2 linked regions of the Lytechinus pictus genome follow. The protein of the gene in region 2 purifies or fractionates together with the protein of the main gene of each other region. This does not show direct contact. Links are inferred from orthologs where the notes say so. Each region holds a gene or a part of one and is shown on either strand. Other genes may lie near its edges.

Region 1 (7,542 bases), about 6.0 Mb from region 2:
CGTTGACATGGCAACGGACCAATTTGAACTATCTTGGTGATCTTGAATATTTCTAAATTTCATATGTATTCAATTGGGAGCCTAAAAATTATCATTTTGGTCATCTATATCATGTTTATTTACCATTTACATGGGAATGTATGTTATTTTTTAGAAATTAATCCGTTGCCGAAAATGGCATTTATAAATTTACCTCTCATCTTTAAAATAAATCTTACGGCATATACTAATACTTTCATGCTTTAGTCATAATTTGCACAATTTGGTTCGGCTTATCCGCTCTACTAATACAGTTGTGTGTGCTCAAAAGTTAGTGAACCCTAACAGAAATTGCACTCCTTCATACCGAGTGTTGAATGTAGACAACGGTACAATGTTCGGCAAGCCCAGATAAATTTATTGAATGTAATATTTTCTCACCTGACTCTACAATTAGATATCTCTTAAAACAGAACTTGAACGCTAAAATAGGTTAATTTTTTTGGTAAAGTTCACTAACTTGTAAGCACCACTGTATATATTATTTTCATTGAAATAGGTTGTATGATAGTACGCTATGATCTGTCAATATCAAGTTACATTGATGACCACCTCGCTAGTCTACTACCACCCCCATCTGAGCAGATCATTAGACTTATATGAACTTGATATGTGCTATGGATATGACCGTTTGCTTTTGAAATAAGGACTGAATTTCAATTTCATCCAAGATTTTGGTCTGAAATGGCCTTTGACCTGGGTCCAATGACCTGAAAGTTTTTATTCACACAATGGGTGACTGAGGCTCCCACTGGCGTAAATCCCGGGGGGGATGGGGGGGGGATATATCCCCCCCACTTTTGGAGGAGGGGGGGGGGTGGCCAGTACAAACATCCCCCCACTTTTTACGAAAGAAATTTTTAAAAAATCACAAGAGATAAGTGTTTTATTGGTGAAAATTCTTCCTGAAATACCGCTTAACAAATAAAACAATATCATTGAATCATATAAAAATGCAAATAAAGAGCCAGTTCACCATTTCCAAACGAAATACTTATGTCCTTATTATAACATTGAAGAGAAACTCCCGTTTCTTCCAATTCATCAATGTTGGGGTCTTTGGGAAGGGATTAAGATGGAATGTCAATTCTTTTTTAATGTAATCTCTAATAAAACCATTAAACCATCATGGGGTAAAAAAGATAATAATATTGGAGGGGTATTTGCCATATGGACATACAGTGGCGTAACTACGGGGGGGGGGGGGGCATGGGGGGCACGCCCCTCCCCCCAATCGGCTGACAAAAAAAAAACGGGGAAAAGGGGGAAAGGAGAAAAGAGGGAGAAAGAAGAGAAGCGTATAGTGGGAAAGAAGAAAATATTATTCATTATAATGTTATATTATAATTATGTTATGTTACATTACATAAGAAACATTTTTATCATAACTTCATGAAACATAATTTGCCCAGGGCCTACGTCTTCATTGTTCCTGGTGCTTGCATTGTCTGTTAACGAGATATATAATCCTGTTGTACTGAAACATCCCGTTTTCAAGTCAATATAAACCAAATATATTTCCTATAGCACTTGAGTTATCATTGTTTTATGTAATGACATATGCTTCTTTTACATGACTCAAAAAGTGATTGCCCCATGTTAAGGTCTTCGTATATATGAAACATTTCCTGTCCGTGATTACGTTCGCATTAGTGGATTGGTGAGATATGTCTGCTCTTCATGAATTCCTAAAATCAGTCCTTAAAATGTCCCTTCTTCTGATCTGAATATCAAAAATTTTCAGCTTGCGCTTCGCGCTCGCATCATTTGGATATTGAATTACGTATGGTCCTAGTTAATTCCTACAAAGAAACCTTAGAATGCCCCACTTCAGGTCTGAATTATCTAAATTTTCAGCTCGCGCTTCGCGCTCGCAATTTTTGACCCGGGGGGGCCACTTCCATTCACGAGTGGATACCATGCGCGACCATGGGGTCTCGAAAAGCACCCAAAACACGTAATTTCCATATTCTGAAAATGCACCCCTTAACAAGTATTGGCGCGTGAAACCCTACCCTTAACAAGTATTGGAAACAAAACGATACTCTTGGCAAATATTCCCTGAAATGAACCCCTAAACAAGTACAGGAATATTTTATTGTTACGGGTCCTTCGGTCGTCGGCTTTACCTTATTTGGTTTAGTACGACCCCACTTTCTACACCTCGCGCAAATCGGACTCTAAACACGAAGTTTTGGGGCAAAATGGACATCCTTTATAAAACATTTTAATTTTGTTTTATCATTCCCGCAAATTCGACCCTAAACACGTAATTTTCCTAGCGAAATAGACACCCTTTTTTCATTATTTTTGTGTTTTTGACACCCTTATCACGTTACGTACGTTACGTGCCCTATCGTGAAAAGGACATCCTTTTTACGTGTTTTTTTGGTCGCGCATGGTATCCACTCGTCAATGTAAGTGGCCCCCCCGGGATTTTTGATTAGTGAGATGCGTATGATAATCATGATTGCAATGACTACAAAAAGTGTTTCATGTGTTCAGATATAATTCTTATAAACCAGCAAGCGCTTGGCACTCGCATTAGATGACTATGGTGAGATATGCATACTCTTAATGGATTCCTAAAATATATTCCTCAAAATATCGCTGTTTGCATGGGGTCAGAATATACGAAAACTTCAGCTCGCGCTTCGCGCTCGTATTGTTTAGCGAGACAGGTACCTATCATGATTACACAAATTTGACAATAATGTCTCTTTTTAGGTGTGAATATTAAAAAAAATCAGCTCGCGCTTCGCGCTCGCATTATTTGATCAGGGAGATGCATATCCGTTTAATGACATTGTCCAGAAAATGTCTCTATTAGGTCAGTATAACTGGCAACTGAGCGCGCTCACTCAGTGATTCAAACATTTTGCTGGTGCCCCCCTCCCCAATGCCGTGACCCACCGTACGCCACTGTGGACATATCACTAATGACAATTCCTTGCATATCTAAAAACATGATTGCAAAAAAAAAAGCCAAAATATTTCAGTCATCCCCCCACCCATCAACACGGATTTACGCCAGTGGAGGCTCCTATAGGACTATGCAAACTTCATGGAATATATTTTTTTTCAGAGAACAAAATAGGGCCTAATATATTTGATAACAAAAAACAGAATTCATTGACCTCGGTTGATCTTGACTTTTAAATACATTATTAAGTTCATGTTAAATTTTATATTCTGATTCAATAAAACCATTCCACACAAATTTCTTGATTTTATATAAAGTTAAGTGATCTGAAATGACCTTTGACCTTGACCCATGATCTGAACAATGTACTCCGGCATATTGCTAATACCGAATAACTGATAACTACTCTATTCAATTTTAGCAATATAAGGGCCTTGTGATTTCAAAATATCTTGAGATGGTTAACCTTCTGTTAAACTGCACGGTTTATACAAATTTATTGACCCTAATAGTGTCACAAAATCTGTCATTGGTGCAGTTAGCAAACAGGCCCTCCACAATGTAAAAATGACTACAAGGTGGATGACATGCTCTTAACAATGAAAAGGGAATTAAAATTGTCAAAAGCAGGGGAAAAATATTTGGTGTAAGTTGGCCTCTGTACTCTCCTAATTTCCAAATCCAATAGGTAAAAACCTGTATTTTTTATTTGCTTTTTAGTGACTTCAACATTTATAAACAACAATGAAATACTTATGAAATCATAAACTGACAAATAACTTCATACATGTACATCAAGGTACCAGTATAAAATAACAGAATTGAATTGCATGGACCTGGATAATCATCGAACCATATATGGAGCTAACAGTACGATCGAATCCCCTTCACCCTTCCCCCCTGGCAGTGGCGTACCTAGGATTTTCCACAGGGGGGGGGCAAAACCGTCAGCCAAAAAAATTGACAAGCAAAAAAAAAAAAAAAAAGGTCTTAAATCACAAATATAAAAGGATTTAGTACCAGAAAAAAAAAAAAAGGTCTTCAAGCTCGTCAGGGGGGCAATAAAGGTCTTCAAGCTCGTCAGGGGGGCAAAAAAGGTCTTTCAAGCTCGTCAGGGGGGCATGGATACGTCCTTTGCATGGGTTGTGGCTCGTCAGGGGGGCAGACTGCCCCCCCCCCCCCCCCGTATGACGCTAGTGCCCCCTGGCCTCCCCTCCATCGGTGATCCATACATTAACGGATAACACGTGTGCGCAGCTGGATGTAGCCAATGCACTGCGGCAGCCTGAGCCCTGGGCCTGACTACCTTGTCTTTGTCTTTGAAAATAAAACTTATCAAACTAAGTCATTTGGTAGTTAGTCGATCATCATGAGTTTTGTAGGATACGAGGAAAAGGTTCGCCCTAATGACACAGTGATAATTTTTCTTGGACATGATTCGATGATGCCGCTAAAAATGGTTTTTGGGTGCACAACTCAAACCAAGTACGGAGCCCTGCGCCACTCTGAAATCATCGGGAAACGTTACGGGTCGAAATTATCGACTGTCGGTGGAAAAGGATGGGTTTACGTGCTTCATCCTACTCCAGAGTTATGGACTGAAAATCTTCCTCATAGAACTCAAGTGTTGTATTTTCCAGATATCAGTTTATTGACGATCGAGTTAGAACTGAAACCAGGCAGTATTGTGGTTGAAGCAGGTAGATCTATTCGTCGTTATTTCGCCAATATTTAGATTCATAATCAGTCATTGGCGGTAGTGCACTTTCGCACCCCAGCCCGGAGTTCACTCAGCTCAGCTCAGCCCTAGCCAGGAGGCTCCTAAAGAGTAAAGATCATTTACTAAGTAACGTATGCTTACCCTCCATGGAGCCAGGAATTCCTTCCCATTCATCTGCACGTACCGTCAAAAACTGAAACTTTTGCCCCCGACTCGAGATTTCTACTTCTAATTATAAGCCTACGCCTAAATCATGTAAAAAAAAACTAAATCGGGATATAACTTTATAAGTTACAACTTCATTTCTCCGCTATCAAATTCATTTTTAAACAAGAATTCATTAAAAAATTAGAAAAATATTGCAAAAAGATGGAGGAGACTTGCCCGATGTTTATGCCGCTATCTTGTTTCCTGACCTAAGTATTGACTATTGTTCACCAACGTTACATTGATGAATTTGATTTTGATGAATTCTTGTTTAAAAATGAAATCGATAGCGTAGAAATGTCGGAAATGAAGTTGTATCCCATGTAAATGATTAAGGGCTAGATCTTTTAGGAGAGTACAAATCTCAGGAGCGAAAGTTTCAGGTTTTTTGGCGGTACGTGCAGATGAATCGGAAGGAATTCCTGGCTCCATGGAGAGTAAGCATACGTTAGTAAATGATTTGTAGGAGCCTCCTGGCTAGCTCAGCCTCGGTGCTCGCTGTTGACGAAGCTTGCGAACTGACTTCGGGGTGCGAAAGTGCACTAATATTGACACGACTATCTTATAACATACAAATAATGCTTGCAGCCGAGTGCGTTAGTGGAAATGCAGAGCACGTGAGGTTTCTTTTGATAGGTGCCACACTGCACTAGCCGCTGGCAGCGAGTGCCCAGTGTGCACCATCTGAAGAAACCGAGCTTTCTCTCAAATTCTCTGCATTTACTTTTGCGCACGATAGAGCGAGTGCATTATTTGTTTTATAAAATAGCAACACAAACAAATTCTTAAAAAGTTACAGTGCAGAAGTTTTATTGGACTTCTCCCGGGACTTCTACCGCACTTGTCTGCTTGAGCGTGCAATGTCAATTTTCGTTGCGCACCTTTTGCGCTGCCGTGCAATGCACAAAAAGTTGGATGTCATGTGACGCGTATTGGCCAATTGCGATGCTGGAGATAATACACCTATTTGATAAAACCCTTAATTTTTAAACTAAAGACTCATTTAAAGTTTTTAAAAGCTCACCAAATAAGTTCTCTGTAATGTAAGATCCCAAGGGCGATTCCACACTAGAACTTCAAAAATAAGTAGTGTAATATTTTACTATGATACCTAAATTTTATGAAAATTATGAGTTTTAACCAAAAGTGAAGTCAGATCTATTTTTTTGGGGGGAAAACAATGGAATTTTCAATTTTCAATAATTTTGCTAATTAAATAGTCCAGTACAAAGTTACTACAAACACTGCCTGAAATGATTATTGGCAAAGCACAAGAAGATTGAAAATATTGCAGGTCAATGGAAAATGTATCATTGATGGTTCCAAATAATATCTACAACATTTTCATGATCCATACTAGGGGCAGCCCTGATTTTTCCGATCCTATTTTTGGCAATGTCCCGTACGACACACAATATATACTGCATTTAATTGCAGGATTTGGATTCAGAAACTATAAATAATAGGCCTATTTTAATTTAAGTAATTGATAAAGTGAACTGAAAAAGTACTTTTTTTATCTCCATAGAACATGAAATAAGTGATTCTAACCATTTTAATTGACGTCATGTAGGCGTATTCTTTTGTGAATCTCTTCAGCCAAACTGCCAAAACGGGTGATTTTCACTGGTCAAAGCATTGAGCATGAAAAGAAAGCCTTTATAATTGATTCATCCTAGCCTGGAAGATGACTTCCTCTTGCATGCTAATGTGAAATTATAAGATGTAAAAAAAAATATTTACATATCAATCAATATAATAACTTAATAATTTAGTCTTATATAGCGCTTTTCATGGAATCATATCAAAGCGCTTTACAATGTAGAACATACTAAATATACAAACATAAGTGAAATTAGAAATCATTTTACTAAAAAATAAAAAATATCAAGGACACTGTAAATGGGGCTATGTTGAATATGCTTTCTTCGTGAGGTACGTCTTTAAATTAGATCGAAACGAAGTGATATTTGGGATACAACGGAGGGAAGCTGGAAGAGTGTTCCAAAGACGTGGGGCAGAGCTTGAAAAGGACCTATCACCAAAAAGTTTAGTTTTTGCTTTTTTGACTGTTAAGAAATTTTGATTTGCAGAACGAAGGGACCTACTGGGAGTATATGCCTATTAAATCAGAGAGATATTTTGGAGCATGTCCATGAAGAGATTTGAATGTTAGGAGTAGAATTTTGAATTGTATACGAAATTTAATGGGGAGCCAGTGCAATTGTTTAAGAGTAGGTGTTACATGGTCATGTTTTTAGTGAGGGAAACTTGACGGGCTGCAGAGTTTTGTATTCTCTGCAGCTTAGAAATATTCTTTTCTGGAATTCCATGGAGCAGGCTATTGCAACTGTCAAGAAGTGAACTAATAAATGCATGAATGAGGACTTCAGTAGATGACTTTGAGAGATATTTTCGAATTTTACCAATTTTTCTTAGGGCAAAGGATGCTTTACGACAGATGCTGTTGACATGGGGACGCATTGAAAAGTTTTTATCAAACAAAACACCTAAGTAACCGTTTTAGAGGGATGTAGGGATCATCTATTTGGACTTCCCTTGATGATCACTAATTGTTTTATATACAGTATTGAAACTCCTTACTTTTTTCAAGTTGTAAAAAAAAATCTGGAAAATAAGACAAACCATATGG
Region 2 (7,514 bases):
GTACTATTGACGGAGCTCATTGCGTTACTCTCTTACATCGTTTATGATGATTTACATTTTATTTTCAACCTCGTGGTGATAGCGGAAGCCGCCGTGAACTTTGAAAGGTCGTATTACCGACGGAGCTCACTGCGCTACTCTCTTACCCCCTTTATAATGATATAAATCTTCTCTTCAACCTCGTGGTGATAGCGGACCCCGCCATTAACTTTTAAAGACTGTACTATTGACGGAGCTTATTGCGTTGCTCTCTTACATCGTTTATGATGATATTCATTTTATTTTCAACCTCGTGGTGATAGCGGATGCCGCCGTGAACTTTGAAAGGTCGTACTATTGACGGAGCTCTTTGCATTACTCTCTTACATCGTTTATGATGATTTACATTTTATTTTCAACCTCGTGGTGATAGCGGACCCCGCCGTGAACTTTTAAAGATCGTGCTACTGACGGAGCTTATTGCGTTACTCTCTTACATCGTTTATGATGATATACATTTTATTTTCAACCTCGTGGTGATAGCGGATGCCGCCGTGAACTTTGAAAGGTCGTACTATTGACGGAGCTCATTGCGTTACTCTCTTACATCGTTTATGATGATTTACATTTTATTTTCAACCTCGTGGTGATAGCGGACCCCGCCGTGAACTTCAAATTGATTTGAAAACGCTAGCTACCCACATGACCCAAAACATTTTAATAACATATTTCAAATCATCGTGCGTGCTTGCGTCGTCTACTTCATTTTAATTGCACTTAATTGCGACTTTAAGATGATGCGTCGTAAGAGATCATTCCAATAATTCTAAATCGCTAGCACCTAAAAATACTTCTAAAAGATGTCCCGCCGATCGTTCATTAACCTGTGATCTATGAGAAATATTTTCATTTTATTTTCCTTTGCGCCTTTGCTCGGAAGATGCGTCTTTCGTTTATCTTTCTAATAAAAATCACTCGGTTTATTTTAAAGCAATAACACCTCAAAACCCCTGGCTTTAAAACATGTTCCATACGATCGCGCATGTTGGCGACTTCCATTCCAATGCATTCGTCTTTGTGACTTTGTCAGGAAGATGCGCGTGACCGCGAACAACATTTTGATGTATTCCTTTGTTTTTAAACATCGCCGATTCGATTTTCGATTCGATTTCGATTTTAGAAGCTTAACTGCCGATCCGATTTTTGATCCGATTTACAACATTACTCTTAAATTGGATACCCAAATTCTTTACAAAAGTCTCTGATATTGGAGATAATCTCCCACATTGGAGACAGTCTCCAATATTTATTGGCCGTGCGCCTCTACTGTAGAAGAGTAAAAATGAGCAAAGTACATGAAATCTATCTAGGGCCTATATGGATATTGCACGTTTTCATCTACCTCGAGCGAAGTTCGTGCAGGCTCCACTCCACTTCACTACCGCTACACTATGCTCTACCTACCCGAACTTCGAGACCATGAACTCGATCGGATATTCCGAGTGACAAAAGGTGGGATTTTATGGGGAGAAAATACAAAATTCATGCAACATCACGATCTTTAAAAACAAGTACAACTAATATTCTTACTTTACACAAAGTTTCACTTCTTTTCCTAACCCAGAGAGCTCCGGCCCGCGTAGCGGGCCGGAGCCCAGACGCTCAGTGTGCAAACGGGCATTCAGGTGAGAGTACCGTGAAGTTTGGTCAAAATAATTTTGATAATAAATAATTAAAACAGAAATTAAGCACTTACCACGATTGTATGGATGATAGTCTAACGAGTGGCAGTTTCCTGACATCGAGGCACAGACTGGAACCTCAAAAAACGATCAGTTCTGTCGCGGTGGCTCTCCTTCTTTCAAAATTCATAGCAAAATGGCCGTTCGAGAGGGTGTAGGGCGCATGCGCGAATTTGACAAAGTCTATATGCGCTAGTGCTATACTAGCCTCGGTCTCGATCGGCCATTTTGTGTTGAATTCTGAAAGAGGAGAGCTACCGCGACAGAACTGATCGTTTTTTGAGGTTCCAGTCTGTGCCTCGATGTCAGGAAACTGCCACTCGTTAGACTATCATCCATACAATCGTGGTAAGTGCTTAATTTCTGTTTTAATTATTTATTATCAAAATTATTTTGACCAAACTTCACGGTACTCTCACCTGAATGCCCGTTTGCACACTGAGCGTCTGGGCTCCGGCCCGCTACGCGGGCCGGAGCTCTCTGGGTTATTCTTTTCCATGCTTCTATCAGTCTCAAAATTGATGATTTAGAGCCAACATGAAGTTTCTCACACGTATAAATATTAATGCGCTGCCGACTTCAAAACATCGCATGCGGGAGGGTCTGGTCCGAGCTCGGACCCTCGCGCGCGCGCGCATGCGATGTTCTGAAATTGGCAGCGAATTATAATATTTTACGTGTGAGGCCTGAGGAACTTCATGTTGGCTCTAAATCATCAATTTTGAGACTGATACTGATAGAAGCATGGAAAAGAAGTGAAACTTTGTGTAAAGTAAGAATATTATTAGTTGTAGGCCTACTTGTACATCTACTTGTTTTTAAACTAAAGTAAAGATCGTGATGCGATGTTGCATAAATTTTGTATTTTCTCCCCATAAAATCCCACCTTTTGTCACTCGGAATATCCGATCGAGTTCATGGTCTCGAAGTTCAGGTAGGTGGAGCATAGTGTAGCGGTAGTGTGGAGTGGAGCCTGCACGAACTTCGCTCGAGGTAGTTTTCATCGCCCGTCGCCGTCGGACGCGAGGCGAGCGACCACGATCGTCAGATCATCAAGGCAACTTACAAATATTTGAGTTCATGGGACTGATACTGAAAGATAATGTTTCAAATAAAAAAAAACTCACTCTTTTTTAAGAGCTCTGTACACTCTCAAGGTTTTATCTTTCTTCAGTATGACATTGTCACCCTCCGCTATCAAATTTTGATGATCCATCGAAGTGGATGAATACAAATCACACAAAACAGCTGGATTATTGAATGTGAACACGGCATCTACGACCTCACGAGTTAGTGGATTCTCGGGACAATTTTGTACATGGTAGGCACTTTTGATCCAAGTTTGAAAGGAGACTCGTAAAATGACGTCAGTCTCGCCGATGAATATTCATTAGATCGTGGTCGTGCGTGTTCAATACACACTGCGTGCAGGCATGCAGATAGTTATATGCGAGGAACTTTGGCTCCAGAGACAAGTTGTCAAATAACGTGTGTGTGTGTGCGTGTGTGTACCATCGGCTGGTAGTATGCCATGCTGTCTAAGACTTCAAACGCGTCGGAGAGAGTGCATGGCAATTCGGTAAAACGAAGTTTCCGATACAAAGAGATAATAAAATAACACTATGGACAGTACGCCCGGGGGTGCCACTTACATTGACGAGTGGATACCATGGATACCGTTTCGGTCGCATTGATCTGCTACAATTTTGGTGAAAAGCGGCCGTAGAGCGCTTTTCGACCATCGCCTAAGCGCGAGCGCACCCGGCGGATCGAGGCCGCGCTAGCTGCGTCAGCATGCACGATTGCCCGTTCCATAGGGATGCATACGCATTCACAGAGATATGGAGATCCGTTCCGAGGACCCCCGTTTTCACAAACATTTGTAGTTCCGAAGCCCGTTCCGAGGACCCTCCTTTTTACAATAAGCCCACTCCAAGGCCCCCGTTTTTTGCCTCGCCCGCGGCACACCCCTACCACTTTTTTGGTCGAGTGCCCCCCCGGGGGCACGTTACGTACGTAACGTGATAAGGGTGTCAAAAACACAAAAATATTGAAAAAAGGGTATCTATTTCCAGTACGTTGAGAGGCAAATGTCAGATCAGGGGAGGCAGGAGTACAATCAGGTTTTTTTTAAGGGAAGAATAGTGTAGAATAAAAGGTATTATATATACCCAAATGATCTAGGTGAGGGAAGTGAACAATGATGTTTTTTAAAAAAAGAATGAATATACCTTACCTGAATATTATGGTGAAGCCAATTTAAAAGGAGGTGAGGCAAGTTTCAATGGAGGTTTATAAATAGAATAAACTGTACTACAAATTATGGTGAAGCCAATTTAAAAGGAGGTGAGGCAAGTTTCAATGGAGGTTTTTAAAAAGAATAAACTGTATTACAAGTTATGGTGAAGCCAATTTAAAAGGAGGTGAGGCAAGCCTCAATGGAGGTTTTTAAAAAGAATAAACTGTATTATGGTGAAGCCAATTTAAAAGGAGGTGAGGCAAGTTTCAATGGAGGTTTTAAAAAATAAACTGTATTATGGTGAAGCCAATTTAAAAGGAGGTGAGGCAAGTTTCAATTGAGGTTTTTTAAAAGAATAAACTGTACTACAAATTTGAAAGGAGGTGAGGCAAGTTTCAATGGAGGTTTTTAAAAAGAATAAACTGTACTACAAATTTAAAAGGAGGCGAGGCAAGTTTCAATGGAGGTTTTTAAAAAATAATAAACTGTACTACAAATTATGGTGAAGCCAATTTAAAAGGAGGTGAGGCAAGTTTCAATTGAGGTTTTTAAAAAGAATAAACTGTATTATGGTGAAGCCAGTTTAAAAGGAGGTGAGGCAAGTTTCAATGGAGGTTTTAAAAAAAATAAACTGTACTACAAATTTAAAAGGAGGTGAGGCAAGTTTCAATGGAGGTTTATAAATAGAATAAACTGTACTACAAATTATGGTGAAGCCAATTTAAAAGGAGGTGAGGCAAGTTTCAATGGAGGTTTTTAAAATAAAGAATAAACTGTATTACAAGTTATGGTGAAGCCAATTTAAAAGGAGGTGAGGCAAGCCTCAATGGAGGTTTTTGAAAAGAATAAACTGTATTATGGTGAAGCCAATTTAAAAGGAGGTGAGGCAAGTTTCAATGGAGGTTTTAAAAAAAATAAACTGTACTACAAATTTAAAAGGAGGTGAGGCAAGTTTCAATGGAGGTTTATAAATAGAATAAACTGTACTACAAATTATGCAATGGTGAAGCCAATTTAAAAGGAGGTGAGGCAAGTTTCAATGGAGGTTTTTAAAAAGAATAAACTGTACGTATTACAAGTTATGGTGAAGCCAATTTAAAAGGAGGTGAGGCAAGCCTCAATGGAGGTTTTTGAAAAGAATAAACTGTATTATGGTGAAGCCAATTTAAAAGGAGGTGAGGCAAGTTTCAATGGAGGTTTTAAAAAAAATAAACTGTACTACAAATTTAAAAGGAGGTGAGGCAAGTTTCAATGGAGGTTTATAAATAGAATAAACTGTACTACAAATTATGGTGAAGCCAATTTAAAAGGAGGTGAGGCAAGTTTCAATGGAGGTTTTTAAAAAGAATAAACTGTATTACAAGTTATGGTGAAGGCAATTTAAAAGGAGGCGAGGCAAGTCCGTTTTTAAAAAGAATAAACTACTACAAATTATGGTGAAGCCAATTTAAAAGGAGGTGAGGCGAGTTTTAATGGAGATTTTTAAAAAGAATAAACTGTACTACAAATTTGAAAGGAGGTGAGGCAAGTTTCAATTGAGGTTTTTAAAAAGAATAATACTGTACTACAAATTTGAAAGGAGGTGAGGCAAGTTTCAATCGAGGTTTTTAAAAAGAATAAACTGTACTACAAATTATGGTGAAGCAAATTTAAAAGGAGGTGAGGCAAGCCTCAATGGAGGTATTTAAAAAGAATAAACTGTATTATGGTGAAGCCAATTTAAAAGGAGGTGAGGCAAGTTTCAATGGAGGTTTTAAAAAAAGAATTAACTGTACTACAAATTATGGTGAAGCCAATTTAAAAGGATCGAGGTGAGGCAAGCCTCAATGGAGGTTTTTTAAAAGAATAAACTGTATTATGGTGAAGCCAATTTAAAAGGAGGTGAGGCAAGTTTCAATGGAGGTTTTAAAAAATAAACTGTATTATGGTGAAGCCATGCAATTTAAAAGGAGGTGAGGCAAGTTTCAATTGAGGTTTTTTAAAAGAATAAACTGTACTACAAATTTGAAAGGAGGTGAGGCAAGTTTCAATGGAGGTTTTTAAAAAATAATAAACTGATGTACTACAAATTATGGTGAAGCCAATTTAAAAGGAGGTGAGGCAAGTTTCAATGGAGGTTTTTAAAAAAGAATAAACTGTACTACAAATTATGGTGAAGCCAATTCAAAAGGAGGTGAGGCAAGTTTCAATGGTGGTTTAAAAAATAAACTGTATTATGGTGAAGCCAATTTAAAAGGAGGTGAGGCAAGTTTCAATTGAGGTTTTTAAAAAGAATAAACTGTACTACAAATTTGAAAGGAGGTGAGGCAAGTTTCAATGGAGGTTTTTAAAAAGAATAAACTGTACTACAAATTTAAAAGGAGGCGAGGCAAGTTTCAATTGAGGTTGTTAAATAGAATAATTAGTGTCATAAATATTATGGTGAAGCCAACTTGAGAGGAGGTGAGGCAAGTGCACAATGATGTTTTTACAAAGATTGAATCTAGTATAGTGAAGCCAGCTGGAAAGGAGGTGCGGGCAATTATAAGTGTACAATGATTTTTTTGAAAGAATGAATAGTATGAAGCCAACTTCAAAGGAAGTGAGGCAAGTGTACAATGAGTTTTTTTGTTAAAGAATAGTATAGAAATATGAATAACGGTATACATATGGGGAAGATGGGGTGGGACAAGTACCACGAAATAATCGTTTTTATATTAATGAATCCGAATGGTGTAAAATAAGTGGAATAATGCAAAAAATGAGAGACAAGTTTAAATGATGATCGGTTCAGCAAGAATCATCGGTGAGGTTTTTTTTTATCAATCATGTAAAAGTAGTTCAAATAATATATGAAAAGGCCAGTGCGAATGTGAAAGGAATGACCATAGATAGGAAAAAAGAGTTGAATAGGTCAATGTAACATGAGGTGAGGCAGGTTTATAATGATGTCGAGGGATGAGATGGAGTCGCGGTGCGATTTGCTAAAACAAAGTCTTAACGAGTAATGTGTTCGAGAGTGAGTCAGGGAGAAAGGGAGAGAGAGAGAATGAAGGAAAAGGACTTTGGAATAAGATTGGAAAAAAAAATAACAAGGAGAAGAAAAAAAAACTGTATCTAGGCCTAGAAAATCAAGTGAACCCCTCCCCGCAAGGACCATAAGAAAATGGATATAAAATAAAAAAATTAAACAAAATAAAAAGGGGGTAAAATACAGTATAAGATGACTACTTACTAACGGTTTTGTCTTATGTTGTTAAGTGCGAGAATGATAAGAAACGGTAAGTCGGCCCAAGAGTAGTCTAGTACCACGGCTTTAATTAGAAACTTCAAGCAATAAACAGGTCAAGAGTTTAAGTTCAAATTTAGGTTTTATTTCAGGTTTATTTTTTATTCAGGTTTTATTTTTGTATTTATGTAATTACATTGTACAATATTTGTATGTTTTTATGGCCAAATAAATAATAATAATAATAATAATCAAAACTACATGTTATCAGTGAAGTAAAAATGAATCAACAAAGTGTATCTAGTCTCTCTAATTCAGATCAGGGCCCTGTGATTTTTGAAGTAGG

Evidence for each region.
Region 1: the proteins of tRNA (adenine(58)-N(1))-methyltransferase non-catalytic subunit TRM6-like (region 2) and tRNA (adenine(58)-N(1))-methyltransferase catalytic subunit TRMT61A-like purify together in Homo sapiens (affinity purification with mass spectrometry; 4 studies listed by BioGRID and IntAct, counting the BioPlex papers as one, with this or other methods). This does not show direct contact. The link is inferred for Lytechinus pictus from reciprocal best matches to the Homo sapiens genes TRMT6 and TRMT61A.

What each region holds. Positions count from the first base shown.
Region 1 is NC_087251.1:10,839,339-10,846,880, forward strand, and holds the start of tRNA (adenine(58)-N(1))-methyltransferase catalytic subunit TRMT61A-like, read left to right. Parts: upstream 1-4,190; 5' UTR 4,191-4,331; coding exon 4,332-4,662; intron 4,663-7,542. UniProt on the Homo sapiens protein: Catalytic subunit of tRNA (adenine-N(1)-)-methyltransferase, which catalyzes the formation of N(1)-methyladenine at position 58 (m1A58) in initiator methionyl-tRNA.
Region 2 is NC_087251.1:16,792,697-16,800,210, forward strand, and holds the start of tRNA (adenine(58)-N(1))-methyltransferase non-catalytic subunit TRM6-like, read right to left. Parts: upstream 3,513-7,514; 5' UTR 2,938-3,512; coding exon 2,849-2,937; intron 1-2,848. UniProt on the Homo sapiens protein: Substrate-binding subunit of tRNA (adenine-N(1)-)-methyltransferase, which catalyzes the formation of N(1)-methyladenine at position 58 (m1A58) in initiator methionyl-tRNA.